Sus scrofa: one gene and its partners. The protein of the gene in region 7 interacts with the protein of the main gene of each other region in a biochemical or structural test. Links are inferred from orthologs where the notes say so. Each region holds a gene or a part of one and is shown on either strand. Other genes may lie near its edges.

The links.
Region 1: the proteins of CREBBP (region 7) and KLF4 form a complex in vitro, tested with the Homo sapiens proteins (2 studies listed by BioGRID, with this or other methods). The link is inferred for Sus scrofa from reciprocal best matches to the Homo sapiens genes CREBBP and KLF4.
Region 2: the proteins of CREBBP (region 7) and SMAD2 form a complex in vitro, tested with the Homo sapiens proteins (2 studies listed by BioGRID). The link is inferred for Sus scrofa from reciprocal best matches to the Homo sapiens genes CREBBP and SMAD2.
Region 3: the proteins of CREBBP (region 7) and NKX2-1 form a complex in vitro, tested with the Homo sapiens proteins (2 studies listed by BioGRID, with this or other methods). The link is inferred for Sus scrofa from reciprocal best matches to the Homo sapiens genes CREBBP and NKX2-1.
Region 4: of the proteins of CREBBP (region 7) and AKT1, one has a biochemical effect on the other in vitro, tested with the Homo sapiens proteins (2 studies listed by BioGRID, with this or other methods). The link is inferred for Sus scrofa from reciprocal best matches to the Homo sapiens genes CREBBP and AKT1.
Region 5: the proteins of CREBBP (region 7) and FOXO4 form a complex in vitro, tested with the Homo sapiens proteins (2 studies listed by BioGRID). The link is inferred for Sus scrofa from reciprocal best matches to the Homo sapiens genes CREBBP and FOXO4.
Region 6: the proteins of CREBBP (region 7) and ATF2 form a complex in vitro, tested with the Homo sapiens proteins (2 studies listed by BioGRID). The link is inferred for Sus scrofa from reciprocal best matches to the Homo sapiens genes CREBBP and ATF2.

What each region holds. Positions count from the first base shown.
Region 1 is NC_010443.5:248,606,775-248,611,020, forward strand, and holds the start of KLF4 (Krueppel-like factor 4), read right to left. Parts: upstream 2,801-4,246; 5' UTR 2,207-2,800; coding exon 2,202-2,206; intron 2,085-2,201; coding exon 1,964-2,084; intron 1,300-1,963; coding exon 306-1,299; coding exon of another isoform or gene 207-305; coding exon 42-206; intron 1-41. UniProt on the Homo sapiens protein: Transcription factor; can act both as activator and as repressor. Binds the 5'-CACCC-3' core sequence. Binds to the promoter region of its own gene and can activate its own transcription.
Region 2 is NC_010443.5:97,481,424-97,485,691, forward strand, and holds the start of SMAD2 (mothers against decapentaplegic homolog 2), read right to left. Parts: upstream 2,801-4,268; 5' UTR 2,800-2,800; coding exon 2,564-2,799; intron 1-2,563. UniProt on the Homo sapiens protein: Receptor-regulated SMAD (R-SMAD) that is an intracellular signal transducer and transcriptional modulator activated by TGF-beta (transforming growth factor) and activin type 1 receptor kinases.
Region 3 is NC_010449.5:63,486,640-63,490,606, reverse strand, and holds the start of NKX2-1 (homeobox protein Nkx-2.1), read right to left. Parts: upstream 2,801-3,967; 5' UTR 2,704-2,800; coding exon 2,627-2,703; intron 2,351-2,626; exon of another isoform or gene 2,179-2,350; coding exon of another isoform or gene 2,039-2,178; exon of another isoform or gene 1,943-2,038; coding exon 1,557-1,942; intron 652-1,556; coding exon 1-651. UniProt on the Homo sapiens protein: Transcription factor that binds and activates the promoter of thyroid specific genes such as thyroglobulin, thyroperoxidase, and thyrotropin receptor. Crucial in the maintenance of the thyroid differentiation phenotype.
Region 4 is NW_018084979.1:3,052,673-3,056,960, forward strand, and holds the start of AKT1 (RAC-alpha serine/threonine-protein kinase), read right to left. Parts: upstream 2,801-4,288; 5' UTR 2,786-2,800; coding exon 2,530-2,785; intron 1-2,529. UniProt on the Homo sapiens protein: AKT1 is one of 3 closely related serine/threonine-protein kinases (AKT1, AKT2 and AKT3) called the AKT kinase, and which regulate many processes including metabolism, proliferation, cell survival, growth and angiogenesis.
Region 5 is NC_010461.5:57,131,404-57,135,348, reverse strand, and holds the start of FOXO4 (forkhead box protein O4), read right to left. Parts: upstream 2,801-3,945; 5' UTR 2,327-2,800; coding exon 1,862-2,326; intron 1-1,861. UniProt on the Homo sapiens protein: Transcription factor involved in the regulation of the insulin signaling pathway. Binds to insulin-response elements (IREs) and can activate transcription of IGFBP1.
Region 6 is NC_010457.5:81,073,774-81,077,764, forward strand, and holds the start of ATF2 (cyclic AMP-dependent transcription factor ATF-2), read right to left. Parts: upstream 2,801-3,991; 5' UTR 2,606-2,800; intron 1-2,605. UniProt on the Homo sapiens protein: Transcriptional activator which regulates the transcription of various genes, including those involved in anti-apoptosis, cell growth, and DNA damage response.
Region 7 is NC_010445.4:38,386,881-38,391,165, reverse strand, and holds the start of CREBBP (CREB-binding protein), read right to left. Parts: upstream 2,801-4,285; 5' UTR 2,599-2,800; coding exon 2,514-2,598; intron 1-2,513. UniProt on the Homo sapiens protein: Acetylates histones, giving a specific tag for transcriptional activation. Mediates acetylation of histone H3 at 'Lys-18' and 'Lys-27' (H3K18ac and H3K27ac, respectively).

The DNA of each region.
Region 1 (4,246 bases), on a different chromosome or scaffold from region 7:
ACCAACCCCCTGTCCCCCCCCCCCAGCTTCTATCCTCCTACCTGTGTGGGTTCGCAGGTGTGCCTTGAGATGAGAACTCTTCGTGTAGGTTTTGCCGCAGCCCGCGTAATCACAAGTGTGAGTGGCCGTCCTTTTCCGGGGCCACGACCTTCTCCCCCTCTTTGGCTTTGGCTCCTCTGGCATGCAGGAACCAGGTGGCATGAGCTCTAGGGGTGAAGAAGGTGGGGTCAACACCATTCCGTGGGCCCCAGAGGGCCGGCAGATGCAGGGCTCCCCAGCCCCAACTACGATTCCCCGGGACTGACCTTGGTAATGGAGCGGTGGGACCTGCGGCTGCAGCTGATCCGGCAGGAAGGGTGGGTAGTTTGGCCCATGGTGGGGATGGAAGCCCGGGGGGAGCGGCAGGGCAGGATGACAGTCCCTGCTGCTTAGCAGTTCCTCCGCACCCAGGGTTGGGGTAGTCCTGCTGGGGAGCTGCCGCCCCAGGGGAAAGTCGTGGGCAGGCGGCCGGTGGCCATTGCTGAGAGGGGGTCCAGTGCCCAAGTGGGCCTCTAAGGGCCGGCCGACGGTGCACGAGGAGACAGCCTCCTGCTTGATCTTGGGGCACATGCGCGGCGGGCCACCGCTGTAGGGCGCCACCACCACCGGGTGGCTCCCATCTGGGCTGCCTTTGCTAACACTGATGACCGATGGGCTGCCGTACTCGCTGCCGGGGGCACTCAGCGATGCCTTCAACACAAACTTGCCCATCAGCCCGCCACCTGGCGGCTGCGACTGCTGCGGCGGAATGTACACTGGGTCCAATTCAGGCCGCAGGAGTTCGGCCACGAAGCCGCCCGAGGGGCTCACATCGTTGATGTCTGCCAGGTTGAAGGGAGCTGTCGGGGGAGGTGCAGACTCCCGGCCATAGAGGAGGCTGCCTCCAGTGCTGCCCGGTGCCACGCCCGGGTCGCCCCCAGCCCGGATCGGATAGCTGAAGCTGCAGGTGGAGGGCGCACTGGCGGGACCGCTGCTCGATGGGGAGGAAGAGGATGAGGCTGAAGCCGACGAGGACACGGTGGCGGCCACTGACTCCTGATGAGACAGTGAGTTGGAGAGGATAAAGTCCAGGTCCAGGAGATCATTGAACTCCTCCGTCTCCCTCCGGGGTAGAAGAGCCGGGTTGCTACTGCCGCAAGCCGCGCCGACTCCGCCACTCTCCAGGTCGGTGGCCACGGTCGCCGCCGCCAGGTCGTAGGGGCGGCCGGGAAGCACCGGGGGAAGTCTTTGCTTCATGTGGGAGAGCTCCTCCCGCCAGCGCTGCCGGGACAGGACAAGAGATACCGTCAGTGCAGTCCCTAACTGCCGCCCGACGTAGTGGTGGGCTGGCCGCGCCTACACCGCCTAGACGTGGGGACCTGGCCGGCAGGAAGCGCCTGGGAACTAAGAGTGCCAGCGTCGAAATCATGGCTGGGTCTGAAGAGAAACGGTGCGTGTATATGGAGGATGTTATGTTGTGTCTGCCCCATGGATTGTGAGCGCGCGCCGCGGCTCGCCAGCCTGGGTCCCTCCCCCGCCAGATCCAGGGGACGCTCCCGCCGCCCCAAGAATCAGGACACCGAAGCTCTCTCGGTGCGCCCTCGCCACGGGGACGCCTACGCGCCAAACTCACTCCCGCCCAGCCAGTGTCTGGGGACACAGACACCTCCCGCCCGGTAGCTCGCGCGCCCGCCCTGCCGCTTGCGTGCTCCGGGACGTGTGCGGGCCCGGTGTGCGCCCCCGGCGGCTCCACACCGTCCGGACCACACGCAAGCACAGCTGAGCCAAGAGCGCGGAAGCCATCCTGGGAAGGCTGCGGAGCCCGTGCGGTGGCTACTCCCTCCCCTCGTCCGGAGGGGTTCTGGGTGACCCCGGGGCTCCGCCCGTCCCCACCCCACCCACAGAAGCCCACTAGAGGTTCCCGACAGCCCGTGACAACACTCACGTTATTCGGGGCACCTGCTGGACGCAGTGTCTTCTCCCTTCCCGCCGGGCCGGACGCGAACGTGGAGAAGGACGGGAGCAGTGCGTCGCTGACAGCCATGTCAGACTCGCCAGGTGGCTGCCTGCGGGCCGGGTGGGGAGCACAGAGGCTTGAGTCAGGGGCCACTCTTGACGGCCGCTCTGGCGGGTCCCACCGGTCCTCACTCCTCCCTACTCCCCCACCCCCACGCCGCACTTACCTCATTAATGTGGGGCCTCAGAGGTCCTCCGAAGTCCGAAGCAGCGGGGGTACCCGAACCCCAGTCAACGAAGAGGGGGAAAAGACTTAGAAACGAAGCCAAAACCCAAAACCCCAAATTGCCAGAGATCCTTCTTCTTTGGATTAAATATAAAAGAGATGCCTTTAAAAAAAGTTCCTTTGTATACAAAAGTTCTTAGAAAAGTTGTAAACTCGTAAAAATAGACAATCAGCAAGGCGAGTAAGTAGGTCCGGTGGCCGGGCTGCGCTCTCTTCGACTCAGCAGTGTCCCCCACCGCTGTCGCGGTCGCCGCGGCTATGGCCTTGGGTGCTGGGGCTGTGGCCGGGGTGGCGGGCGGGCGGCGCCGCCAGGTGAGACTGGCTGCGGCGGCGCTGATCTGCGGACTGGGCGGCGGCGCAGGGCGCGGAGTCCGGGGGGCTGCGCGGGGCGCGCGCGGCCATGGGCGCTGGCCGCGGGCAGGTGGGTGGGTGGGTGGGGGCCGGAGGGGCGGGGAGGGGCACTTGGCGGCTCCCGGTGCCGCCGCCGCCCGCCACCGCCTCTGCTCCCCGCGCGCCCGCAGCCGCGCTCGCTGTCTCGGCCGGGGAACTGCCGGCGGCCGCCGCGCGCTCCTTACTTATAACTTCTTGGCTCCCGCCCTCCCCCCGCCTCCTACCCGCTGTGCGCAGGGGCCCGCCGCCAGGCCCCGCCCCCTCCCTTTCTTCTCCCCTCCCTTGCGCGGCCCCCCCCGCGCGTTGCCATAGCAGCTAAATAAACAAACTTGGCGCACGTGGGGCGGGGAGGAAGGAGGGGCGCGGCGGGGCACGGCGGGCCGTGACGCCAGCCCAGCAGCTGGCGGGCAGGAGCCGCGCTGACGCCGGCGGCGGTGGCGCAGTGGCTCAGGCGCTGGGTATACCGGGCGCAGGTCCGGTCGCCGCGCGACCAGGACAGTCGGCGTCGCCACGGGCAGCTCCCCAGGTTCGAAGCCTGCGGCCGAGAAGGCTGCTGGGGGCGAAGGGGGACGGTAACACGCCACTACCACAGCCCGGGTGAGCGCTCGCCGCGCACTTTGCGCCCTAGAGAAGAGCGCGATTATCCGCGTGACTCATCCAGAGCTCGTACCTCTCTTACGCACGCAGGAGCCCGGCTCTAGTCCCTGAGTGCCATTGCGGGCCCTTGGCCTGGCGTCACACGGCTCTTCGCTGGCACTTTTGCCGGGTCGCGGGTAGGGGGTCGAGATGGAAGCCCAGGACGGCAAGGCGAAGACTGGGAGCCTGAGAAGGCCGGAGGGGTGTTCCGCCTGGAAAAGGCTGTAAAAGACCAGAATGGGAAATGGAGCTACGGTTTTGATATTATTGAAGGAGAGAGGAAGGGACGGGAAAGTCTCAAAATTCACTTCGTGAGGTGGGGGAGGGAAGAGGGGCGTGAGGCGCGGAGATACCTTCAACCAGGAATCTCAAAGCATTTTGCAAGCCACGCACTGTCCTTTCCATTTTATGGATGAGAAAACTGAGTCATAAAGAGGTGAAGTGGCGAGGTAAAGGTCAACCGGCAACTCGCTCCCTTGTCTCGAGCGGTCAAGCCCACCGAAGGGACTTGGCTGGAAAGTGGCCCCATGCCAGAAAGTGGAGCGACGCATTGGAACCCCGGTTCCTGATAAGGTCACACGGAGCCCGCGGCGGCTGTCACTGCCCACCGGGAAGAGAAGAGGAAACTGCGATCGTTATTTCAGTCTTATAACTCTGCCTCCCCACCCCCCTCCCCTTAGTTTGTGATCAGTACTTTTCCAGCCGGGAAATGTTTTCGCTCTCATCTTCTCTGCAAGCAGTGCTTTTTTTAAAAAAACGTGAGTGTGGTGTTAGGTATCGCTTTCTAAACGTAGGCTTGCGAGGTGTTTTTGTTGGATTCAGGCGCACACAGGCCTCCGCCCTACTCCCCTCTCCGCGGAGCGCTCTTGAAGGTTAATGCAGTGGGTCCTGGCCGCTGGGAAAAGGGTCGAAGCCCTAGCACTGACCAGAGTGTGGGCTCACCCCTCACTGAGATCCAGT
Region 2 (4,268 bases), on a different chromosome or scaffold from region 7:
GGAGTCTTCTTTACCTAACACCGAGGACTCCACTCTCACCCAACCACGCTGGGGTTCAGGGTGAACCCCTAAGTGCAGGATGTGGGGGCTCCTCACACCCACACAGCCTCTCGCTCCTGCCATATGCCACCTCCAACTCCCAGGACACCCTTCACCAGTTCTGGCCAACTGCCACCCTCAATACCACAGAGCCTCTCTGGAGGGATTCAGCTTCTCCTGAAAAGTCCTCCTTGACATCCACTCAACCCAGGCATCAATCTTTCTCCAGCAGGAAACTTTCCACACAGCATGGAGTAGGGAAGGCTCCCCCTCTTTGGACATAGGTCCCTAAGCATACATCTTTCAGAACAACCCCTGGATGTTATGAAATTATCTTTCTTCTTTTTTAAAGTTTATCTTCCTTTCTAGAAAGTAAGCAACTCAAGAGCAAAGACTTTTATGTTTCTAAATGTTTACTGAACTGAAACATCAGACACTATACAATGAAAAATCAACAAATATGGCCTGACTTATTCCTAGCCAATTCATTAGCAAATCCTGTCAGTTCAGCTTCCAACCAGATTCATCCACTTCCCGAGTTACCACCACCTCGCCAGCCCAGCCTAGCCTCTGGCATCTCCATTCTGGATTACTTTAACAGTCGCCTCATTCCTCTGCGTCCACACCACTATACCACACCAGTCTATAACACACATGCCCACACACTCCACTATCCACACCCTCTTGTCTCCAGCAGCCAGAGTGATCTAAGATATAAAGATAAAAATTTCTTCTAAAATTTACTTAAATTTAAAAATCCACTTTAAAAATCTTCATTTGCTTCCTATTGTACTGGGACTAAAATCCAAACCGCCTCCTGATGCCCCATCTAATCTGACTCCTCCCAAGCCTTGTGCTCATTTGGTGTTACTGCATCTCTACTTCGATCCATTAAGTCTCCAATACGACAAGCTATGTCCCACCCTGGCGTCTGTATGCTTGCCCCTTCCTCTGCCTAGAAGACTTCCTTCAGCTACCTGCTACTTCTCCAAGTTTAGCTTAAGTGTCACAATCCAATCCAAAGCAGCTTTTTAATCCTTCAGTCACTGTCTTTTGTCCTCATTACCATCTCAAATTACATTAATTTGTCCACTTGTTTACAGTGTGTATCTGTCCCTCAGGAGGGCAGGAACTCCGCATTTCATCCATGCTGTGTCCCATATGCCTAAAACCAGTGCCTTTCACACGGAAGGCATCCATAAGCATTTCTAAAACAAAAGAATAAACCAAGAAAAGTGACCCTTACTTAAGAAATACCTGAAACAAGGAGTTCCCATTGTGGCTCAGTGGAAACGAATCTGACTAGCATCCATGAGGATATAGTTTTGATCCCTGACCTCGCTCAGTGGGTTAAGGATCCAGCATTGCTGTGAGCTGTGGTGTAGGTTGCAGATGCGGCTCAGATCCGGCGTTGCTGTGGCTGTGACACAGGCCAGTGGCTACAGCTTCAATTCGATCCCTAGCCTGGGAACCTCTATATGCCATGGGTGTGGCCCTAAAAAGCAAAAAAATAAAAATAAAAGTTAAAAAAAAAAAAGAAATACATGAAACAAGGTAAAAGAAATGGAAAGTAATCGGTAATTTTGTTTTATTACCAAACAAAACAAGGCAGGAAACATTCTAGTTAGTATCTGCAAGAAAGAAAGGCTGGTGTCACTGGGAGCTATTATCACAAGCATCCAGAGTTATTTCCCAAAACTCATTAGAAACATGTCAAGTAGAATGGTTTCATGTGCCATATGCTAGCCTATGTGTATGGCACTGCAAACAATCATTTTAGAAAATGCTATAAACTCACACTCCCCATAACCCTGCAATGTGCACAACTACAGTAGTGTACACTACAACACTTAAAAACTACTCGTTATGCTATTTGAAAAACCAGAATTTCTGACAGTGGTAATGATCTGTAAATGATTAAATTTATACTAATAAAACTTCAACCTCTTAGGTAACAGGTCCTTCTCTTATACGAGGCAGGTCTTCAAGACAGGATCTGACTATGGCACCTAAGAAGCTGCCTCATATACTGTTCTTTCTTAGAAATAATGCTGCAACTCAAACAAAAGCCATAACTCGTCACAATGTTAGCAGCCTCTGTTAACTCCTTACTGAAGTTTTGACCAGAGGAGCAGGAAACTGTCAGTCACTACTGCACTAGTGATACAAAAATCTTTGAATCTTTATTCAAATGTCACTCAATCACAAAAATTAGGATAACATACAATGAAGCATTTAGGCAATGAAGGCAAATGAAGACAGTGAAGATAAACCTTAGTAAAATCTAAGTATTTTATTTTGCTTGATTAAACTTTCTCGCTGTTCAAGAAAAGGATTTATAAAATAAACAAGTCTTATCGTGTCCAACAAAATTAATATGACAGGTTAGAAATAGATTTCATATTTTAATAATCACTATTGACAGGTGAATTGCATGTAACAAAATTTCAGTAACTTTCCTGCAGATTCCTTTAAGCAATTTTCAACAGGATGGCCATCAAGTTTCTGACCTAACCACACTTACCTTGGTATGGTAACACATTTAGTATTACAATTTTGAGTGGTGATGGCTTTCTCAAGCTCATCTAATCGTCCTGTTTTCTTTAGCTTCTTCACCAAACTTTTAACTGCTTTCTCACACCACTTCTCTTCCTGTCCATTCTGCTCTCCTCCACCTGCTCCTCCAGATCCACCAGCTGACTTCTTCCATCCCAGCAGTCTCTTCACAACTGGCGGAGTGAATGGCAAGATGGACGACATGTTCTTACCAAAGGCAGCGGTCCACACTAAGAAAATATCCTCCTTAATCTAACCTAGAAAAGATATGGAAAGGACAGTTGAGAGGCTAACTTTACCATCAACTACTGCTTTCAACACAGGAGCAAAAGCAAATTACAAAATGAGATAAGAAATTCAAATTATTACTTTCAGAACAGACTTTCAGAAGTTATCTTTTTCACCCATGACAAGTCTTCACGAATTTAAATGAACTGTGGAAACAAATCCTTCTAAAAACAAGACAATGATAAGTGGGCCAAGAGAACAATTTTGCAAGACAGAAAATTTTTTTATCTTTATCAACACTGGACCATTAATCACTACCCATACTACTATATTTTTACCTTTTAATAGTAGCAATAAAATATTTTCACTAAAACAAAGTTTTCCTTATGTTTTTAGAATTTCAGTCTATTCTCAAGACACTTAACAAAAATACATTTTTTTAATTTACAGGGCCAATCTCCCCGAAGTTTTAAACTTTCATAACTATCATAAAGTAAAGTCTAAGGTCATAACAAGGGGAAAGGAGAAAGGCATCAAGTGTGAAGTAAACAACCAGAAGTAAAGGTAACGAGAGACTGTGAGGAAGAGATGTGGTTCACTTTGAGAAGACTTTTAATTAAGCTTCATTTTAAAAATATTTTTTTCTCTATCTAAGTAACAACCCACATAGTGGATAAAGTCAAATAAAGCTCTTCTCCCCACACCAAGGTACAACTCTTTAAAATCTTTGAACCTTTACTCTTGCTATTTATACCTAAGCAATGGTCCCCCTTGAAGTATCAAGTTAAATATACCTATTGAAAATGAAGATTTACACCACAATCACTTGCTTTTCCTCCAGCCCTGAAAATAATTATCTTCCAACTGTAGTTTTATACCTGAAGAGATTAGTAGTAAACTACTATATAATCCTGTTTCCTTTTTTGTACATCTCTTTCTTTTTCTCCAGAGCTAATTATGTCAGTTTTTCATCTGCCTAGTTTTCTAAGCACCTACCATAAATTCTTCCTACTCTCTCTACCAAGTCCCTCAATTAAAATTTAATGTCAACAGCTTTAATCTCAAAGTAAGAGATAAGAACATTTACCACTGAGGGCAGAACTAGAGAGTTTAGATTTGAGAAGAATGGAAAAGATTTAGAAATGCAGCTCTGAGAAATACTGTAGAAAATCAAACTGAGTGAGGTCAGATAAATTTTATCAGGTATTTGCCAGACTATATATCAGAAAGTATTCCATGAAGGAGTTCCACTTCTAAACAGGATGTAGCAAATCACAAGAGACCATCACTTTCACCCTAACAAACAAAACAAGACAGATAAACTATAAAATCATGGTTTTTCTGAACCCGTCTAAAAGTTAAAGATGCAAAGTAATAAGCTAAATGTAACTAAATTCCAGAAAGTGTTGAATTTTGATAGGAGAGGGGCCCACAGATGGTCTCTT
Region 3 (3,967 bases), on a different chromosome or scaffold from region 7:
CCTGGCCCTGCAGCGCCGCGGGGCTGGCGGCGTGGTGCGCCAGGTCCGGAGACTGGCCCGCGCTGCTGGGCTGGTGGCCGGGGTGCGCACCCAGGCCGGGGCCACCGCTGCCCACTGAGATAGCTGCCGCCGCCGCCTGAGCAGCTTGCGCCTGTTGCTGCGCCTGCTGTTGAGCGTGGCCTTGCAGGCTTGCGGCGCCCGGAGCCGGGGCGCCCGCCTGGCAGGGTTTGCCGTCTTTCACCAGGACTGGCACAGCCACGCGGCGTGGTGACTGCTGCTGAGCTTGCTGCTGCTGCTGGCACCCGGCGCCCCCGCCGCCGCCGCCGCTATCCTGCTGCAGTTGCTGCTGTGCTGCCTTGTCCTTGGCTTGGCGCTTCATTTTGTAGCGGTGATTCTGGAACCAGATCTTGACCTGCGTGGGTGTCAGGTGGATCATGCTGGCCAGGTGCTCGCGCTCGGGCGCGGACAGGTACTTTTGCTGCTTGAAGCGTCGCTCCAGCTCATACACCTGCGCCTGGGAGAAGAGCACCCGGCGCTTCCGGCGCGGTGCGCTTGGTAGCGGGGCCATATTCTTGCTCACGTCCCCCAGAGAGCCCAGGCCGCCCATGCCGCTCATGTTCATGCCGCTCGTCGGGCCCATGAAGCGGGAGACTGTAAGCGACAAACGCACAACGTCGGCAGGGGCCGGGCCGGACCAGACCGCCTCTGCCTTCTGCGCCCTTGGCCGGCCCGGCCCGCCCCGACGGCGCCCTCCTCACCTAGGCTGCCTCCACCCTGGGAGGCCCAGCTGCCTGCCTCAGGCCATGGCGTCTTCGAAGTGTTTGCTGGAGAGCTCTCTGCCTCAAACCCCGCTACCTCTCTCAGTCTCAGTGCTCCACCCCAAAGAAGCGGCGTGGAGAAAGGCTGCTCCTGTTCCTTTCATGGTTAGCGGGCCACAGGCAGCAAACTGGGCCCAGGCCAGGAGCTGGGGTCCGATGGTAGACCCCAGCTTTGGGAGCTTAGCAGAGAGAGGTGTTCATTTTTGAAAGCTAGAAACCCCAGACTCTTTGCCTCTTGGCTTCTCCCTCCGTTGGCCCCAGTGAGGGCACTCTTTCGGCCCATTTAGAGCCCCCTCTAAGCCGCGCGCCCTCCCACCTGCCTAGACTGGAGAGTGGGCCAGGCCAGGGGCCTGGGCGCATCCCAGCCGGGAAAACCTCCCTCCCGGCCAGGCCACCTCTCCGTGCCCTGTTTGTCCCGGCTCTCTTAGTTGGAGGGACGCCACCCTCAGCAATCCAAGGTCTCCCGCACAGAGCAGAGCGGCCACTTGGCCGCATCTGGCAAACACCGAATTCCAGCTTCTGCCCTCAGGACCCCAGAGCTACCAAGTGCCTCTTCTGGAACCCATCAGCTCAACAAGGGAAGACTCCCCAGCTCCTGTGCCCGACTCCCTGGCGCCACTGCCCGGCCGCCCACCCTGATGCCCACCGCGCAGCTCATAGGCGCCGCGCCTTCCCGGCGGCTCTCTCTGCGCCTCCTGAGCTCAGCCCGCGGCCCCGCAGTGGGGCGGCCTCACTTACTCGCGGGGAAGCGCGGGTCTGGGTTGGCGCCGTACCATCCGGGGCCCGACGCGCTGTTCCGCATGGTGTCCTGGTACGGCGGCAGCTCACTCATGTTGCCCAGGTTGCCGTTGCAGTAGCCCCCCACGGCGGAGTGCGAGAGCTGGGGCACCCCCGCCGCCGTCATGTGGTAGGCGGCGGTGACGGCGCCGTGGTGCCCCACGGCGTGCTGCTGCATTGCCGTGGCCGGTGGTGCCGCCTGGCCCTGCCTGTAAGCCGCCAGCGGAGCCCCGAGGCCGCCGCCCTCCATGCCCACTTTCTTGTAGCTTTCCTCCAGGGGACTCAAGATGTCAGACACTGAGAACGGAGTCGTGTGCTTTGGACTCATCGACATGATTCGGCGGCGGCTGGAGGAGGAAGGAAGAGGAGGAAAAAAAAGGGAGAGGGGGAAGGCGAAGCCTCGCTGCTTTTTTTTCTCCCTTTGCCAAATATTCTGGTGTTACCTTAACGCCGATCTTGTTGGATGTACACGTAACCGAGTGGACCGAGTCCGCCTTAATTGGCTTGAGTGGAGGCTCGGGGGCTGCCTCGCGTTTGTTTTAGCCCGGCGCCAGGTTTTAGGCAGCCACCAGAGGCGGGGCATAAGCGCTAAAGCAACAAGACAATAGAAGCCTACATCTTGCCCGAGATAATTAGCTTACATGCTGATGACAAGGTAAACACCTTTAAGTTTCACTTGTCAGGATTTTTAGGTCTCAAAGAGGGAGGGAGAGAGAGAGAGAGGCAGAGACGCGACCCGAAGCTTTTCTTCCCCCCCCTCCCCTGGACCCCCACCCCCATTTTTTGTGGGGTGCGGGCGGCGCGGGGTGGGGGGAGGTGGGGGAGGGAAAGGAGGAGGGAACCGAGAGAGGGGAGGGCAAGAGGTGGGACTGGGAGTAGCCAAGGAGGAGTGATGGTGGGTAGGAAGGAAGGTGAATGCTGCTTTGCAACCAACTTGCCGAGTTACAAAGTGAACCACTTTCCAATTTGGTCGGGGTTCCCCGGGCGGGGACAGGAAAGGAGTGGGCCAAGGGACGGGGTGGGGGTTTCACCTGAGCCTGCTGGGGCTGCTCCTCCCTCCCGCCGCGGCCTCCCAGCCCCGCGCCTTCCCACTGCCTCCGGACCACATCTGGCTTCGCGGTGCCGAGCCCCAGCCGCCACCAAAGGAGCTCACGAGTCTGGGGACGAACCCTGGGACCGCACTGTTCTGCGAGTGGGTCTGTCAGTCTGTCTGCCTCTTCTGCCGCCGTCAGAAGGACACCTCTGCTCCCCGCCCCCTTTCCCCCTACCCGAGAGAGAATCCTGGCGGGCGGAGGGGGCGCTGAGCAGGGGATCGACTGTAGCTGCCGAGAGGCTGTCCCAGATCTCCGCGCCCCCCTCCCCCAGCGCAGGGGTTTCTCAGAGGGCCAGGGCCCCCTGCTTCACGCCCCCCCCAACCCACACGCGGCTACCCTTCCCCACCCCCGCCCCTGGCTAAGACTAGGACACCACTGGCCACCCGAGCTGAGAGGCTGGGGGGATTGACGCTAAGCGCCATCGCTTTAGTTGCTCCACCTCGAACAAACCTGATGTCCCCGACCCTCTCCCATCGCCCGGACACGCGGGGTTCTGGGACTGGAGCTGACTTTCCGAGGACATCACAGCCCCAGGACCCGAGCCCAGAGTCACGCTGTTTTCCCCTCTGATGCTTCAGGGAGGGCTTGGGCAGGGAACGTCGTGAGTGCCCGCCCGCCTGTTGCCGGGCGGAACTAGCCTGAACCCTGGAGGGATGTGCTGGCCGGGAGGGGGCGAATCCCCAGGCGTGAGCAGCCCAGCGGGCGGGAGGCTGGGCTGAAGCTTGCCTCCACCCGGAGCTCAGCCATGCAAAAGTGCACTTGCTTCCCTGGGAATAACCAAATATCTTTGTTTAAAGTGGCAGCGTAAATGGCCAGTCGCTTTGTGGCCACGCTGGATATTAGTAGATGAGGATCATTCTGCTTCAATTGGGCGCCTCTCATCCGGCTAGCAAGAAACTGCTTAGGAGGAAGTGGGTTTCCTGTCTGCGCGTTCCCAGGCTTCAAGTGTGAGCCCCACGCCTTGAGGGTCCTTGGGCGCCTGGAGAGGAGGAGCTGTGGGCTGCGCTCCCCAGCCCGGCCGGAGGCATCCGCCGCGCTGCTCCAGCCAGGCCAGGGCCTCCAGCAGAGTGGACTACGGAGCCGAGCCCTGCGCAGTGCAGATCCTGAAACCCACTGACTTTTCTCATTGGAATTTAAACGTTTTGCAGTTGTTTTGTTTTGTTTTTCTCTTTGGCTGTTTTAGCCTCCTCTCCTAGCTAGGAACTGGGAGGGCGGAGCACTCCCTGATCCGCAGGAGCCTCCAAGACACCGCGGGGGCCGGTTAAAAAGGCTTCTGGA
Region 4 (4,288 bases), on a different chromosome or scaffold from region 7:
ACTCCTGGGCCAAGAGCCACCCAACCAAACCCAGAAAGGCCTCGGGGTCCTGAGCAGGCAGAGGCGGAGACAGAGCGGGCGGACGGCGGCGCACAGACGGGCTGTGGTAGCTCCCGCAGGGTGGCTTGGGGCGGGGGGCAAGAGGGATGGCCGAGCCCTCCCCGTGGGCAGGGGCCCTGCCCAGACCCCTTCCCTGCAAACACCCAGAGGAGGCAGAGGCAAGACCTCGGCGTCCAAGTGACCCCCAGCCTCCCTAAGCGAGGCCCGGGTTGGGGTGCAAGGGGCTCCGGGCACCGACACCCAGGAAGAAGCACAACCCGCACAGGAAGGGGCCAGCCCAGAGGCGCAGAGGAAGGCCTCCCAGCCCGACACCTGCTCTTCCCTGACCGGAGTGACATCTGCGGCGGGACAGCCGGGAGGACAGCGGGGCCTGGTGGGGACAGGGCCCCCTCCCTCGGCCCCCTCCTCTGTGACCCGGGGGCAGGCTGCATCCTCCCCGCTCCAGGCGTCACCTGGCTCCCGCGCCACAGCCCCCAGCACTGGCTGTGAGGCCCCCACGGCCCGAGGGGGACGCCAGCGCCTCAGCAGCAGGGCCCAGGGTGGGCTCCCGCCCCTGCTGGGAGAAGCACTGAGACCTCTGGGCAGGCCCGACCACCCTGGAGATGGTCGGGGCAGGGGGCAGGGATCGGTGACCCCAAACCCAGTGCCCCAGCCTAAAGCCCCCAGGGTCAGCAGAGGCGCCACCAAAGAACCGCCACCATCGATCCTGCTGTTTCTGACACACAAGCCTGTCCCTTCTGAAGGTTCAAGAGGAAGCAGGGCGTGGCTAAGCGGGGCGCACGCAGCTCCACCCCAGCCCGGAGCCAGGGCCCTCTGCCAACCCGCCAGGGGCCAGGTCCGGGCTGGGGGGCCTCCTCCTGGGGCTGCGGGGCCAGGCTCGGCGAGGGGGCGGGAGCAGTGGGCATCCACCCTCTGTGGGCACAGAGGCAGCCGCCGGCTCCTGCGCGGGAGGCCCGCGGGGAGGGCACTGGCCGCGAGCCTGGCCGGGTGTGCCCGGGGAGAGGGGACGCCAGCCACAGCCGAGCCAGCCCCCCCGCCCCGCCCTCCCGTGGCACTTCTAGGAACTGGCCTGACGCAACCCAGCCCAGGCCTCTCCCTAGGGCTGGCGCAGGGTAGGGGTCCGGGCCCAGGGCTCCGGACTGGGCCTGGCATCCCAGCCCATCCCGCCCAGACCTGGGTTCCCCTCCTGGGCGTGCACACCATGCCACCTGGGGCAGCTGGGGTGTCCGCAGAAGCCAGCCCGGGACCCCAGCGGCGCCCCAGCCCCCTCCCCTGCCCGGCAGGGCCAGGAAGGAGGCAGGAGCACTGCCCACTCGGGGCCCATCAGGCAGGAGCCCAGGGACACCAAGCGGGGCGGGCAGTGACCCCTCACCCCCCAGCCAAGGACGCCTGAGCTTCCTCTTTTGTTGTTTGTTTTGAAGAGAAAACTCAACGCGCTCACAAAACAGGAAACTCGGCCCCACACCGGCTGGCTGGCCACGACCACGGCCACAGCCTGGTGCCGCCGGGGTCCCAAAGAGAGCACCCCAGCCCCAGGAGCAGGGGCCCAGCACCGTGCCCACCCTCAGCCCGGCTGCCGGCTCGGATCTGCCCCAGGCCAGTGCTGGGCCCTCGCAGAGGGTACTGCTTGTGGATGAGGGACTGCCCGGACTGGAGCTACAGTCACTGCAGCATGACCTGAGCGGCACCTGGGGAGCCCCTCACCCGGCCCGGGGCACAGGGCAAGGGGAGCAGACCCTGCCCCACGCTCCCGCGAGCCCCTCGCCCTGGCAGAGCCCCCGCAGCGGCACCGTGCGCCCAGGCGGGCTGAACAGGTCCCTGCAGGCCTCGGCCCGCTGGCCACTCAGCAGAGCCACCGTCGCCTCGAAAGGGGAGCCAGGCTGCGCCCCCACAGCCCCCGCCCCATGTGAGCCCAGGGCCGGGACCGTGGGTTTCGTGTCAGCAAATGGAAGTGGCGTCTGGGCAGCTCAGAGCCGCCTGAGGGCAGGGAAGCCGCTGCGGCCACAGCAGGAAGCAGGATCCGGCCAGGGCTGAGCGGGGCAGGAAGAGGAGCCACCACGGCCAGGAAGCCCACTCCCCACCAGGGTGCCTGGCACCAGCGCAGCAGGGGTGGTGAGGGCCTGGAGCCGGCGAGGGTCCAGGCCAGAAAGGGGCTCAGGCAGGGGGCACAGCAAGGCCCAAGACACGCCAGGGACCAGCCCCCCCGGCCCCGTGCCTGGGGTGGAGCTCGGGTGGTGAGCAGGCCCGCGCCTCCCCTGTGCACACATGCCCGCGGGCCTTGCAGGTGGCCGGTCCAGGCCGGGTCCAGGGGCAGGAGCCCCGCTCCCCTCCACCTGCCCGCTGGCTCCTTGGCAGGCCCAGGCCGGCACCCCCTCCGCTTCCCAGGCCCGGCTCGTCCTGTGAGCCCGCAACCCCTTCTTTCAGCCCATGGCCAGCATCTGGCTGCCCCCTTCCCTTCTCCCAACCCACCTGGTCCAGGCGGCCCATCCACGGGTGGGGTCACCCAGGAGGACAGCCAGACACGGGCTCTAGGTTTGGGACCCCGCAGGGCTGGGCTGCCGCCGAGACAGTGCACAGACCACGGGCACCAGGCCAAGTAGGCAGGGAGGCCCGGGCCTTGGGGAACGTCCCGAAGCAGCTGCGCACACCGGCCCGCGGCCTGGCACAGCACACGCAGTCTGAAGACACAGCAGGAGGCTGCAGCCGAGTCCAGCCAGACCTGCATCCTGAAGGAGGGTTGGTTTTTTTTAACTATCAGCCTTCAAAAATCAGGAGAGCACACAAAAGACCGAATCTTTGAAAATGCGCATTTCTGAGCCACACGGAGCCCACCAGCCCCCAGCACCTGCGGCTGAGCTGAGCTGAGCTGCCCAGCACTCGCAGTGGCCGCCATAGCCTGGGGTGTCTGCCCATCAGCTGCCTGGGATACCCCACTTTGCTCAGGAAGTCGGCCTGCCTCTGGGGACACCCACTCATAGCTTGAGGGCCACCTGTCACACAGGCGGGGTCCCTGCAGGCCCCTCCCAGCCCAGTCCTCTCCCACCCCCCCCCAACTTTCTGAGCCTTCAGCAGCCTGACTCCACCCTCCTGGGACCGGCTCCCTGGCCAGACACCAGGGGACAGAGGCCCGAGGGCTTGCCTGGTGCTGCAGGTCAGGCAGGGCTGGGACTCGAGCTGCAGCGCTGGCCACCCAGCCCGGCTCTCCTGGGCCCCCCTGGCAGTCAGGACACCGGGGAAGTAGCCGGGGCACTCCTCAGAGATGGAGCCCCTGCCCGGAGGGGCAGGAGAAGGACGGACTGCAGCCACCCCTCAACCGCCAAGTCTGTGCCCACGGGGCCCCTTGAGGGCAGGCCCTGGGCTGGACGCAGGACAGACGCGACAGAAGGCAGACCAGTTCCTTGTACCCTGTCACCTGCGTGGCGGGAGCCGCACTGGCAGTGGCGGCGGGGGATCAGGGGGTCTGTGAGGAGCTGGAGGACAGGCACAGTCCCCCACCCTCCCTCACAATCAGACCCTGGCGGGGGGCGGGGGGGTCCAGCCTCTCACCTGTGCTACAGGTGGCGCCGTCTGCCCCCCCAGCCCAGGGCTCCCCCACTGCTCCCAGAGCTGCCCCCAAAGGAGGCTTTAGTTCCTTCGAGGGAGAGGGCACAGCGGGGGTGGGGGCGCCACAGGGAAACACGGAGACGTCCTCAAACTACCCCCTCTCCTGCACCGCCACCTGCCCGCGGGGGACCAAGGCCAGGACGTAGCCGAACACCCCCCCCCGCGACCCAGGCCCAAAAACGCTAGTTCCTCACCCATCATGGGAAACAGCCCCACCTCCCACCTCCAGCCCCAGTCAGAGTCATCCTTGGTTCCCACAACATCTCACCCAAACCCACCCATTTCCCGCCCCCACCACGTGACCTCTGCCCCTGGCCCAGTCACCTACGTCTAGCACACGGGGAGAGCCCACATCTGGAGGAAGAACCGACTGGGAAAAGACGGCTTTTTCTTTTGGAGGGACAGGAGAGGACAAGACACACGGGGGTCCTGGGTTCACTGGCAACAGGGAGTGGAGGGGCAGGGGCGCCCTGGAGGGCAGGCAGGGCAGCCAGCGCAAGAGGGACAGGGCAAGGGCACCTGCGCCAGGCACGTCCCCCACGGCCTGGCACCCACCACACCACACGCCGCCGAGGGTGGCACGTGGTCTGGGGGAGGAAGAGCAGGAGGTGTGGGGCTAGGACCC
Region 5 (3,945 bases), on a different chromosome or scaffold from region 7:
ACTGGCCTACGCCACAGCCACAGCAATTCGGGATCCGAGCCGCATCTGCAACCTACACCACAGCTCACGGCAACGCCGGATACTTAACCCGCTGAGCAAGGCCAGGGATCGAACCCGCAACCTCATGGTTCCTAGTTGGATTCGTTAACCACTGAGCCACGATGGGACTTCCCATCCTTTCTTCTTTAGGCCTTGGAACTAGTACATGGTACAGCCACCTTCCTGGAGAGGTCAGCTCCCTAGAAGCCTGTTGTTCTTGCCTGTTGGAAAGGGGGGGCAGGTGTGACTGCTAACTGCTCCCCTAGCCGCCTAAACTAAGCCTTCTTGTTCTAGGTGAGTGCCGCCCCCTGGTGGGGTGGTAGTAACCTTGGCACATCACCAGGGAAGCCAATTTAGGCTTGAGGCCTCCCCCCTTGGAGTAGGGTGGAGGTGGGGAGTGAGAGGTGAGAGACTTGGGGGCCCCAGATTTGGCCTTGCCATCATTCCATGGCAGCATGTATTAGCAGAAAGGGCATACGATTTACAGTTAGACCTGAGTTCAAATCTTCATTCTATCGATTTTGGCAAGTTTCCCAACCTTGCTTTACTTTTGTTTCCTAATATGTAAAACGTGGAATCTCAGAATCGCTGTGAAGATGAATACAATTTAAAAAACTCAACTACTTTTTTTTTAAACTCAATTACTTTGTAAACTGAGAAACCCCATATAAGTGGGACTACACTCCCACAGCAAAAAACTAGCAACTCATAGTTATTTCTTCTACCCTGGAAAACAAACCTAAGGGAAAAGAAAAAACAGCTGTGTAGGCTGGGTCCAAGGAGGGGAGCTCTTTATGAGCTGAGACTCGTGTGGCAGTCTACCCAGAAATAGTGCCAAGGGTCTCAGTCAGCTGTCCTGCTTTCTGTTCTGCCCAACCCCTAGGGATACTGTAGATCTGCTCCCTTGATCTCTTCTACCTAGAAGACCCTCTGCTCATTCAACCCTCTGTATTTCCTTGCATCCCGATCTCACCACTTATGGGGGTACAAGACGTCAATAGGAATTGAAGCTCCCCTGTTTCGTGATTAGAGTCCCATGTTTCTCAGGACAAGCTTTTAGAGCATCTAGTGAGACGGTCCCTCAGCGTTTCTTCATGCAAAGCCAATGGAACTCCCAACCTTGTGCTCTAAAGTCAGAGCCTTATCTCTCTATTTTTTCCCCTCGAATATTCCTCAAGAGTGAATGAAAACTTCCCCCACAACTTGGACAGCCCCTTACTAGGCAGAGTTTCCTGGCATTATATAGGGTAAACTGAAGCAGCCTCCTCCTTTCTCTTAGTGCGAAAGATCCGCTACGTCACCCCATGGATACCACTCTTTTTACCTTTTGCCACTTCACTCCATCTTCTTGGGTAGCAGAGTTCTAGAACAGTGCTTCTACCCTGAGGTATTCGGAGGCAAGCAGGGAATCCAAGCAATCCCACAGGAATGGGAGAAAAGGTGTAGGGGTGGGAGGTGGAGGAGGAGGGAAGGCTAGGTTCCTGTGGGGAATCCACACAGTTCCTGCTGTACATAGGATAAAGACTTCTCTGTGGGGATAAGTGTTTGGGGCAGCCCAAGCCAAAGTGCTGGGAGTGTTGAGCAGTGAGCAGAGAATTCAATTTTTCTCCAGGACAAGGACAGTGTCTTATTCATCTGTGATCCTCCAGCATCAAGCACCGAGCAGCATATACTATGTCCTAAGTAAATGTTTGTCTAATTGAGGAGGGAAGGTGGATCTCTGGGGTGGAGGTGTAAAAGGGGCCCCAGAGTAGTAGCAAGGAGACTGGGGGACCCAGGGGCAGACAGGTATTGGGATGGAGGTAGGGGGGTTCATAGTTACCTTCCATCCTGCTGAGCTGTTGCTGTCCCCCTTGTCCTTGAAGTAGGGCACGGTGCGGACCATCCACTCATAGATCTGGGCGAGTGTCAGTCGCTTCTCGGGGGCGCTTTCAATGGCCTGGCTGATGAGTTCTGCATATGACTGATTTCCCCAGGCATTCCGGCGGGAGCCTCCCTTCCGAGGACCTGTTACAGCCCCCAGGATCCCGGGCTGGGGGCCCCCTGCCGGGTCTGGGAGCCGGTTGGGCAACAGGGTCGGCTGGGAGCGCCCCTCCGAGCGCCCCTCCGGGTGTACCTTCTCTCCCAGACCTGACTCCACCTCGGGCGGCTCGGGCGGCTCGGGAGCGAGCTCTGGTCGGGGAAGGGGCCAGGTGCAGGAGCGGGGACGGCTCTGGGGTTCGAAGTCGGGATCGAGGTCTACGGTCGCGGCAGCCTGTCTGGCTGAATTCTCATTCCCTGGATCCATACGTGGAGCTGGACCTCCGCCGCTCAGCGTTCAGAGGAGCCTGCCACAGTCCCTTGCGATGCCTCCCCCCAGGGGGGAAGCACCGAGGGCCAGGAGGCACATTCCTGCCAGTCCTCAGAAAGTCTCGAACTTCCCCCTCACCCCTGGACGCTAGCCCCTAAGCTGTCCCTTCCACACAGTTAGTTGTCTGATCCTCTCCTCCACTACAGCAGCCTGCAGCCTCGGAGCTGTGAGCTCCGAGACACCACCTGTAACCACCGCCTAGCGAAGGCACTTTTTCCCCAACCTCTCACTCAGCTTCCTGCTCTTTTAAATCTGAGGCACCGTATCCCCTCACATATCGCACTCCCATCACAGAACGTCTCCTAAGCCGTAGTTCCCTCCCCCTTTTAAGTTGCTGCCCCCCGGACACTCCTCCCGAATTTCCTCCACCCGGATCGCTGCCCTCCCCCACGCCCCGCTCCCCCGCGTCACTTGCCCCTCCCCTGACTCCCCCACCCCCCGCCTCTTTCCTCCCCCCCAACTCTTAATCCGGTCCACGTCCCGGCGGCCCCAGGCTCTCGAATTCCCGCACCAATCCCCCTATCAACCCCCCCCACCCCCCGCCCCCCGGGTTTCCCTTTTGTTTTGCTCCAAGCAGCGGCCCCCGCCTGACGTCTCTGTTTACCACTCGCCGGGGCAGCCATCTGCGCACGCGCCTGGAGAGTCGGTTGGGAAACCGAGTTCTCTAGTCGTGCCACCCTGGTCGGGCTTGGGGACTACATCTCCCGTCCTACTTCGCGGCTAGGAGCCCGATAAGGGTGGCAGGAGAGCTGCGTGGCAGGATATAGAGAGAGGGAACATTAATTATTAGAGGTCGTCGCGGACTTTTTCTTTTCTTTAAAAATCATTTTCCTCCTCCCCGCACCCCGCCCCCTCCCCCGTCCTCCCTGTGATTCGGGGATCGCCTAGATGACCGTGTGAGGAGATGCTAGAAGAGGGCAAAAAGAAAGAATGCGGTCCCTGCAAGAGGCAAGAAGTAAAGAACTGGCTAGTAAATAGGCTGTTGTCGCGTTGAGGAGTTGGGTGCAGGGTTTGGGGCACATAAACAAATGGATAGCTGATGATAGTGTCTCCCCCACCACCCTCAACTCCCCATACGCAGTTCTCACAGATAGTGCGGTTGCTGACCAATCAGTTTTCTCCACTGGCTCTTCTGGCCTTTCCTCAAATATTGATGTTCTCCAGGTTCCCATCTTCGGCGGCTTCACTTCTCATTCAACAGGTTCCAAACAGAACGCATTATCTGTTCCTGCACCCACACCCCCAATCCTCTGGATATCTTATCTCAGAATTTGGTTAATGGTTGTCCTAATCTATCCAGTCTCCTAAACTAGATTTACCCTTCGTCTTTTCATCTCCGTAACCTCCCACGTCCAAATCCCAGTTCAAGATCTTACTTATCACGGGACTAAATTGCAGCAACGTCTTAATCGGGGCCCCCCACCATGAATCTCTTCCCAACTGCGGTTTATGTTCTGTGCTGTCAACAAAGTAACTTTTCTGAGAAATATTTCTGGTAATAACAACTAAAATTTATGGAGCATTTATTCCGTGCCAGGTACTGTGCTGATTGCTTT
Region 6 (3,991 bases), on a different chromosome or scaffold from region 7:
CTTTATTAATTTAAAAAAAATAATTGTTATTCAGTGGAGATGAGAGTTTCTGGTGAAAATCTGGTTTAAAATAGGGAGACTTCAACTACTTTACCTTTTCTAAGGACATTAAACTAGGAATATCAAAGAAAAAGAGGTGCCAGCTTATAGGCTTATTTCATATTGGAAGGAAGAGCCTGAAGACAAAATGAATGGAAACAGCATGTATGGTGAGATTATTTACTGGATCTAACAATTTAATCTACCAGCAGAAGATATACAAATCATTAAATCCCAACTTTTCCAAAATACAAAAATTTAGGTAGAAAAACTTTATAGATGATTTCTTCAGAGTTAATGTTAATTACAGGGAGTAGAAGTTTGATGTAAAGCATATCTTTTTAAAATGATATTCATATAGGAGTTCCCGTCGTGGCACAGTGGTTTACGAATCCGACTAGGAACCATGAGGTTTCGGGTTCGGTTCCTGCCCTTGCTCAGTGGGTTAACGATCTGGCGTTGTTGTGAGCTGTGTGTGGTGTAGGTTGCAGATGTGGCTTGGATCCTGCGTTGCTGTGGCTCTGGCATAGGCCAGCGGCTTCAGCTCCGATTAGACCCCGAGCCTGGGAACCTCCATGTGCCGGGGGAGCGGTCCTAGCAAAGGCAAAAAGACAAAAAAAAAAAATGATATTCATATAGTCTCTAAATCCTGAATACCAATAAAAAGCACCACTTCAAATTATTTCTTAAAGAGCTGACAATCACTTCTGTTAATCTCAGTTTAAAAATATGAAACATATACTCTAAGTAAAAAAGTAAATGCAGGAATTTCTGGATTGCACATTTAATAAATATAGTGCCCCAAATACTAAATAAACATTCTAATAAGGTATTTCAAAAAACAAATTCCAGAAAATACAATCAAATCTACAGAAGGCATGTATCTTACAACACACAAAAGTCCCTGAAAGCCCCTTCCTTACTGACAACTAAAAACCAAACACCTGTGTTCTAAACTACCACTCTATTACACTTTAAATAACTAAAACTTAATGGCAGTAGCATTCTCTCAAAACAAGATTAAACATGTTTCTTAGGAAAGCAGCACACACTGCATTTGGAATATTCATACAAATTATTTTACAAAGATTAGAATTAAATTATTAATGACCTTAAAGATCCATGAACGTAATTGCTTCGTGATCTGAAGAAGGGCATCTCTATTTTTGAACATACTGTACAATGATGTTCCTGTAGTTTTGAAAACAGTGCTTACAGCGGATTCTTCAAGTCAGTGTAATAAATTTAAATTCAATTACAAAATATAATTGCTATTGTATTTGTCTTCCAGGGCACTTAACCCTGTAGGGATGACTTTTTAACAAGCTTCTCACCTTCATAGTTTTGGATATAGGCTTTAAGATTGTGCCTAGAAAGGTGATTACTGACAATGGTTATAGATTTCTTCACATAGGACAAAAAGTGTGCCCAAAGGAACCGGTTTTTCCTGATTTCAAACATATACATTAAATTTATTTACTGTTGCCGTCTCCAAAACTTAAAATTCCTAAGAATCTGTAACTTTTCACATAATAATTAAGGGATTAGTCACAGGCCTAAGGTTCCTCAGGAGTAATCCCTTTTACTCCACCATATTCACAGTACTTTTGCTCCTGTCCTGACCAGTTTTAAAACTTTTCATTAAGCAAAGACAATTTTATGCTACCTAAGGGAACAAAAATAGTTCCCAGCCCCTCCGCCTTCTCCCTCCTCCTAGCGTCAGTTCAACCAGCGAACACAGAAAACGCACACACACGCGCACACACACACACACACTCGGGCCCGGTCCCTAGGGCATCAATAAAAAGCACAGGTTATTCCCCTACAGAAGCTCTGCAGTCTACCCAGTAAGGTTAAAAAAAAAAAAAATGGGGGAAAATACCAGAATCAATCTGCACCCGCACCTCAGCCCCGCCCCATTGGGAAAATGCAGGGGGTGGCGAGAGTATGAAGGGGCAGAAAGGACAGAAAAGGCAGATACTTCCAGCTCCAGGTTCTTACACCATTTGTTCCACCAGCTTCCACCACAGCCAGAGACCCTGACCCTGTTTTCAGCCGCGCCTCATGATCCTGCCCCCCGCCACCACCATCACATACAGTCCCCAAACCACTGAGTGGGGAGCCCAGAGCCAGCCCTCTTCCTGTTCAATCTAAGGACTGAAGCGGGGGGTCTCCCTGCATCCTCGGCGAATCCGACGTGTGCCCCGGGACCTCTGAACTGACCAAAGAAGGGGAAGCTATATCAGGGGGAGGGGTCTAAGAGGAGCCGTTATTCTTTTCCTCTTCGTTAGGAAAGCGCGCGAGCAGGGAGGGGCCGGAACAACAAATGCCAGTTACCTAACGGTCCAGCCTGGCCGGTCCGGCTCGCGAAGCGGACGCCGCGCGGTCCGCTGAGGTGGCAGCACAGCCACAGCCGCCCCGCGGGCTAGGCACCGAGTCAGGAGCGCCCGAGGTGATGGGAAGCGGGGGGTGGGGACTATGGTGAGCGACGTCGCCATATTAGTGCCTTCTTTCTCCGTATCCCTACAGTCTGCAGTCCTGCAGCCCTCTCCCCATCACCACTCACCTTTCCAAGTCACTAGTTCATGCTTCTTTCAGTGGCTGAGAATACCCGAGCTCAGCGGTGTTTACCAACCACCCCAGGAGGAAAGGGCTGAACCACACTTTAAAGGCCACGGGCTCCCACAGGCTTCCGTCCTCTCTCGCGAGATCGGACTGACAACCCTTCTCTCCGCCCCACTCCCGGCATCCCTCCTTTCTTCTCATGCCCCTCCCCTCCACGCACACGCCCCTTCTTGCTTTCCTTCAGACCAAGCGCCTCCGGGTCAGGTGGTTCCGTGAGGCGTAGGAAAAGGGGCGGGACTGCAGGAGGGCCGGGGTGAAGGGGGCGGGAGCCAAAGACTACTCGACCGCTGGCTATTGGATAAAGAGCCAGATGGGCGGGAAGCAATTCTGGACGGGGCGGGACCAGTCGAAAGAGTGTTGTCTCGGTAACCCAGGAGCTGCAGAAGGGTGATTGGCAGCTGGCTGGAGGCGGGCGCGAGACTGGGGCGCTCAGCAGGTGGCTGCTTGAGGTGGCTAGAGGAGGTTGTTGATGTGCAGGGAGGAAAGGTGAACTCTGGAAAGGCTGCAAGTAGCGGGAGAGAAAGCAGAAGAAGTCATATCCGGGAGCCTGGTATTTCCGTTGCTGTCATTTCCCGACCCTCGGGAGGAAAAAGAGTAAAGCGTAGGGAGGCGTGCACCGAAACCCACCTTCGGGCTACCGTGAAGCCTGTGGGGAGGGGGCGGAGGCAGGGGCGGGGTTCGGTTAAATTGAAGTTTAGAAGAGGCGAAGTTTGCTGGAAATTACCCCCGAGCCCCCATACACGCCTAAGGCGCGAAAGCAAAATGTCAGTTCTGAAAATAAACGAAAAAGCCTTTACTATGAACGGCTTTTGTTCGAATTTACTAAGTTGTAGCTGAAACTGATTGCTCCGGCTCAAAGCGCCCAGCACCGGTGTATGATATTGGCATACAAATATATTCTAAGTAACTTACTAAAAGGAAATATTGTGGCCTTCTACCATGTCTCCATAACTTAAAACAATGGAAGGACTTGTTAATAAGAAAAAATCCTCCATGTTATGGTGTACCTTGTTTTATCAGTTTACTTACTATAGATAAAAATAGATCAATTTTAGTAGCGATAATTTCAAACCTTTAAAACCTCAAAACTCCGTATTAATATTTTAGAGAGGACCAAATGACACCAAATTAGAATATGGCTTAGAAATTGCACTCTTCCACAAATATTAATGCTACCGCTTAGTAGGTTGATGCAATGCCAAGGAAACAGCTGTCAGGCTCTGAAAGTACCTGTTTAAAAAGAAGGGGGGAAGAGCTCCCACCATGGCTCAGCGGTGAGGAGCCCAACTAGTATCCATGAGGACACGGTTCAGTCCCTGGCTTCGCT
Region 7 (4,285 bases):
GAGCCAGAGCAACTCGGGATCCGAGCCGCGTCTGCGACCTACACCACAGCTCACGGCAATGCCGGATCGTCAACCTACTGAGCAAGGGCAGGGACCGAATCCGCAACCTCATGGTTCCTAGTTGGATTCGTTAACCACTGCGCCACGACGGGAACTCCTGCCCGGTCCAATTCTATCCTAGAAGCCACAAACCCATATCTCCTCATTTAAATGAGGCTGAGTCTCTCGAGAATGTTATTCTCAGGTCTCTCCCCATGTTTCCATTTAACAAAATGCCTTCGATCCTTTGACTGCGTGTAATCTAATCCCTTTAGTCCTTGCTTTGCCTTGACAGACATCCTTAAGCCCTGCTTCAGACCAGCAGTTACGGGAGACAAGGCTGTACCTTGCTTCATGTGCTCAGTGAGGGCCCTTCCAAGGCCCTGACACTAAGAGACCCTCTCACAGGGACATGATGGTGCCGAACGCGCCACCAAGGACCCGACACACATATAAAGGTGAATTTATTCTTTGGATTATTTAAACAGAGCTGTTAAAACTGACTTTTTTGTTCCACATTTGGAAAAGCAAAAGAGCTCCAGTGCCTCAAAAGGATCAAAATTAGAAAGGGAAAAAAGTGGTCAAAATCCACCCTTTCTGATAAATTTTACTGTGATCAGCCACACATTAAGTAGATATCTGACCATCCAATAACAGAAGTGCCCCAAGAGCCAGTCCTTTGGGTGCCATCTTGAAAAGAGGTACAAGTTTACAGTGGGACAAGCCTTTCTGCTACGTCTCACGTAACTCCCTTGTCCCTCTGTATAAAAAGCAAAGTCTAAAATAACCTCAATCAACAACAGCAAAGCTGCAAAGCCATTCAAAAGTTACGTTTCAGAGGACAAGCTTCAAAGCAAACTTGTCCAGTATGATCTATATTTCATATGATTAAAGATTTTTCACTCAAACATGCCAAGATTAATGGAGCCAAGATGAGCTATTCTGCAGTAAAATCAGAGTTTTTTAAATGCAGTAAAATCAGAGCATTGAAATCATGGTTGTTCTCACATTTCTCATTTCAGATAAGCTGATTTTACAAAATTAACATCAAACACAACACTTCATCAGTTTTTTTTTTTTAAAGAAGAGTATTATTGGTGACTTTTATACACCATGAGACTTAACTGACTCTTCTCCAACTGTTTCAACAAATTTCATTTCAACTAGACAAGAATCTCATGATTTTTTTTTTACACTTTCTCTCAATTCTACATTAAAAAATAGTCTAGGAATTGTAGTAAAACTGCAGCCACAAAACTCAAGTTTTGTTCCAACAATAGCAATAGATTTTTAGACCACTAGCAGAAAAACGCTAGTGGTCAGTCACAGAAATGTTTGCACAAGCTGAACAGCTGTGTCTACTGCAAATCTGAAGGCACTGCTGCAGCAATATAATTCAATTCTGACCCATTCATTATAAACTGATTTACAGATGCTGCTACTGCAAGATCACAGTGGAGAAATGCAAGCTGCGCTGGGGATCAAATCGTTCACCGAAGCGCACAAGTTTTTAACGCAAAGGAGAGCTCTGAAAGAGGAAATACAACTAGTTCATAACGCTACCATGAACCAGCCCAGAAGAACCTAAAACTATAAATGAATAGAAAACTAAAACACTTCCCTTAGGTAATTGATGTGATCACCTAAGAAAGTTTCCAGGGAAGATGTTTAAAACAGTGAATTTATTCAGTATCCTACCGAAAAAACTAGGGAGGAAGACTGTAATTCCCCCATTCCTTAACATATTTTTTCTTCTTACATCTTCACTGTAAAAGCAACACAAGCTCACTTGCAGATTGCAGCCCGGATCAATCTGCTATTTAACTTTCTTCCGAAGTTACAGTCTTGAAATTAAACACCCCACTTAGGACGTCTTCCGAAGTTTGGGGCTGTGAAAAATGGGATAGCTCAGGAGACCAACAACAAGAGTTTTCAAAGTAACTACTAAGCATTTTTCCCAAGCAGCACATTCCAAAAAACTTCTAAGTCGTAACTCAAGAGGCTGGCTGCAGCTCTGCGTGTCTTCTGGTTGCCTTGTGAATGTGCTACCAATTCAGAAAACATTTCGGGTCCCCTTTGGGCTGCACGCTTTCCTTCCCTCACTGGCAAACGCACCCTCCGCTGTCATCCCTTCAAACAGCCACGCGTGTGTCGACCCACGGCGGCAGAGGGTGGCAAAGGGACTCACCACGCAGAACAAACACGCTCCGCTTTACTTTTCCCCCCTGGAAGTACCACTCGGGCTCCACGCGAGGAGGGCTCGCCAACTCCGGGCTATGCGAGCGCACCGGGCATGTGCCGCCCCACTCGGGCCCCAGGCAGTCTTCCGACAAACTTCCCCCTCCGCGGCCGGGGTCCCGGGGAAAGGGCCCCGCACGCCCGCCCTCGAGTTCGGGTCCCCCGGGGGCACTCACCTCCGGGCAGGGCTGTCAGCGACCCCCGGGGCCCCTGTTCCCGCCCGGCCCCCTACTCACCTGTGCTGTCATTCGCAGAGAAGCCGGGCGAGCTGAGTTTGGCTCGTTTGGGGTTGGGCGGTCCGTCCAGCAAGTTCTCGGCCATTTTCACCTGCTCGCGAAAACAGCCCCGAGCGCGGGCGGCGGGGCCGGCGAGGGCTCCGGGGCGGGGGTCGGCGCCGGCCCCGGCCGGCTGCGAGGGGAGAGCGAGCGCGAGCCGCGAGTCGCGAGCGAGCGCCGAGGGAGAGGGAGGGCGCAGGGCCGGGTGGGGGAGGCGGCGGCCAAATCTCAGCCACAGCAACAGCGCCCCGCAGCGCTCACCGCCCGCCCCCGGCCGCCGCCGCCGCCGCCGCCGCCGGCCGCGGCCCCCTCATCCCCTGCCCGCCTCCCGAGCGCGACACTCCGCGGCGGGGGCGCCCCGGCGGCCCGGCGGCCCCCCGGGCCCGGCTGGCAGCGACGGCGCCCGGCCGGGCGGCTCAGGCAGTCCCCGGGAACATGGTGCCGCCGCCGCGCCGCCGCCTCGCTCCCCCCCCGCGCCCCACTTAATTAATTCGCTCGCGGCCCGACGACCGGGGGGCTCCGGGCTCCGCTCCCTGCCCGCGGCCCGCCGCCGCCGCCGCCGCCGCGAGGAAAAACAATGAGCGAAGCGGGGCCGCCGCCGCCGCCGCCGCCGCGGCCCCCCCACCCCCCGTTCCGCCGCCGCCGCCGCCGCCGCTGCCGCCGCCGCCGCCGCCGCCGCCGCGGCTCCGGGAGGCCGAGCCGAGAGGCGAGCGGGGCCGCCGGAGCGGGCGCCGAGGGCCAGGCGGAGCGGGCCGGCCGGGCGGAGCGGGGTGCGCGGGCGGTTGTGGGGCCCGGGACCGGCGGGGCCGAGTAGATCGCGCTCGAAGCCCCGGTCGGGTCCGCGACAAGATGGCGGCTGTTGATTCCTCAATTAAAAAAAAAAGAAAGTTTTTTTTCTTCTCTTTCCAGAGCCTGAACGGGGAGGGGGAGGGGGCGGGGCACGCCGGTGCGTCACCCCCCCCCGCGGCGTCACCACGCACGGCCCCCGCCCCGCCCCCTCCACCTGCGCCGGCCGCAGCGGAAAGAGCCGAGCGCGTTCGGACGGAAAGGGCCGAAGGCGCGGCTGCCGTACGTCGTGCGGCCGAGTGGCGGGGCGGCTAGACTGCCCGGCGGGGGCCGGGCCTGCGGGGCGCCGGGCGCCGGGCACCGCCGCCACTTTTGTTCTGACGGCGACTGGGCGGCGAGGGGTCTGGCTGCGGCCTGGCAGCAAGCCGGGCCCCCAGGCGCGGAGTTGGCGCCGCCCGGGCCTGCCCGTCCCGCAGGCGACTCTGCCCAGTCCCGGCTCCCCGCGCCCCTGCTCCGCGACCCTTCTCGGTGACCAGGGCTGGCAGCTTCTCCCCGCCGGATGCCAGCGTTGTGTCGTGGCCTCTGCAGGTTACAGACTGCTCTTGGGTCCGCCCGTGAGCGAGTGCAGATGGGGAAACTGAGGCAGGAAGTGGCAGGGCCGAGATTCGAAGGCCTCCACGTGAAGTGAGGAGGACGCAGGACTCCTGAGCCCTTGTTCCCCAGCCTGATGCAATAGGGGCCCCAGGTCCGACACCCTCACCTGCACCGGGAAGTGGTGAGCGCTGCTTCCCAGCCAAGCACACTCAGTCTGCGCCGGGCCCAGAAGGCCCCATTACATCAGGGCTTAGGGCCCTCGTGCCCTACGCAACCATCTGGACCCCGCAGGTGCTGCAGTCAGGTGTGAGGTTCCCCCGGAGGCCCGCCCGCGTGCCCACTATCCGCAGGAC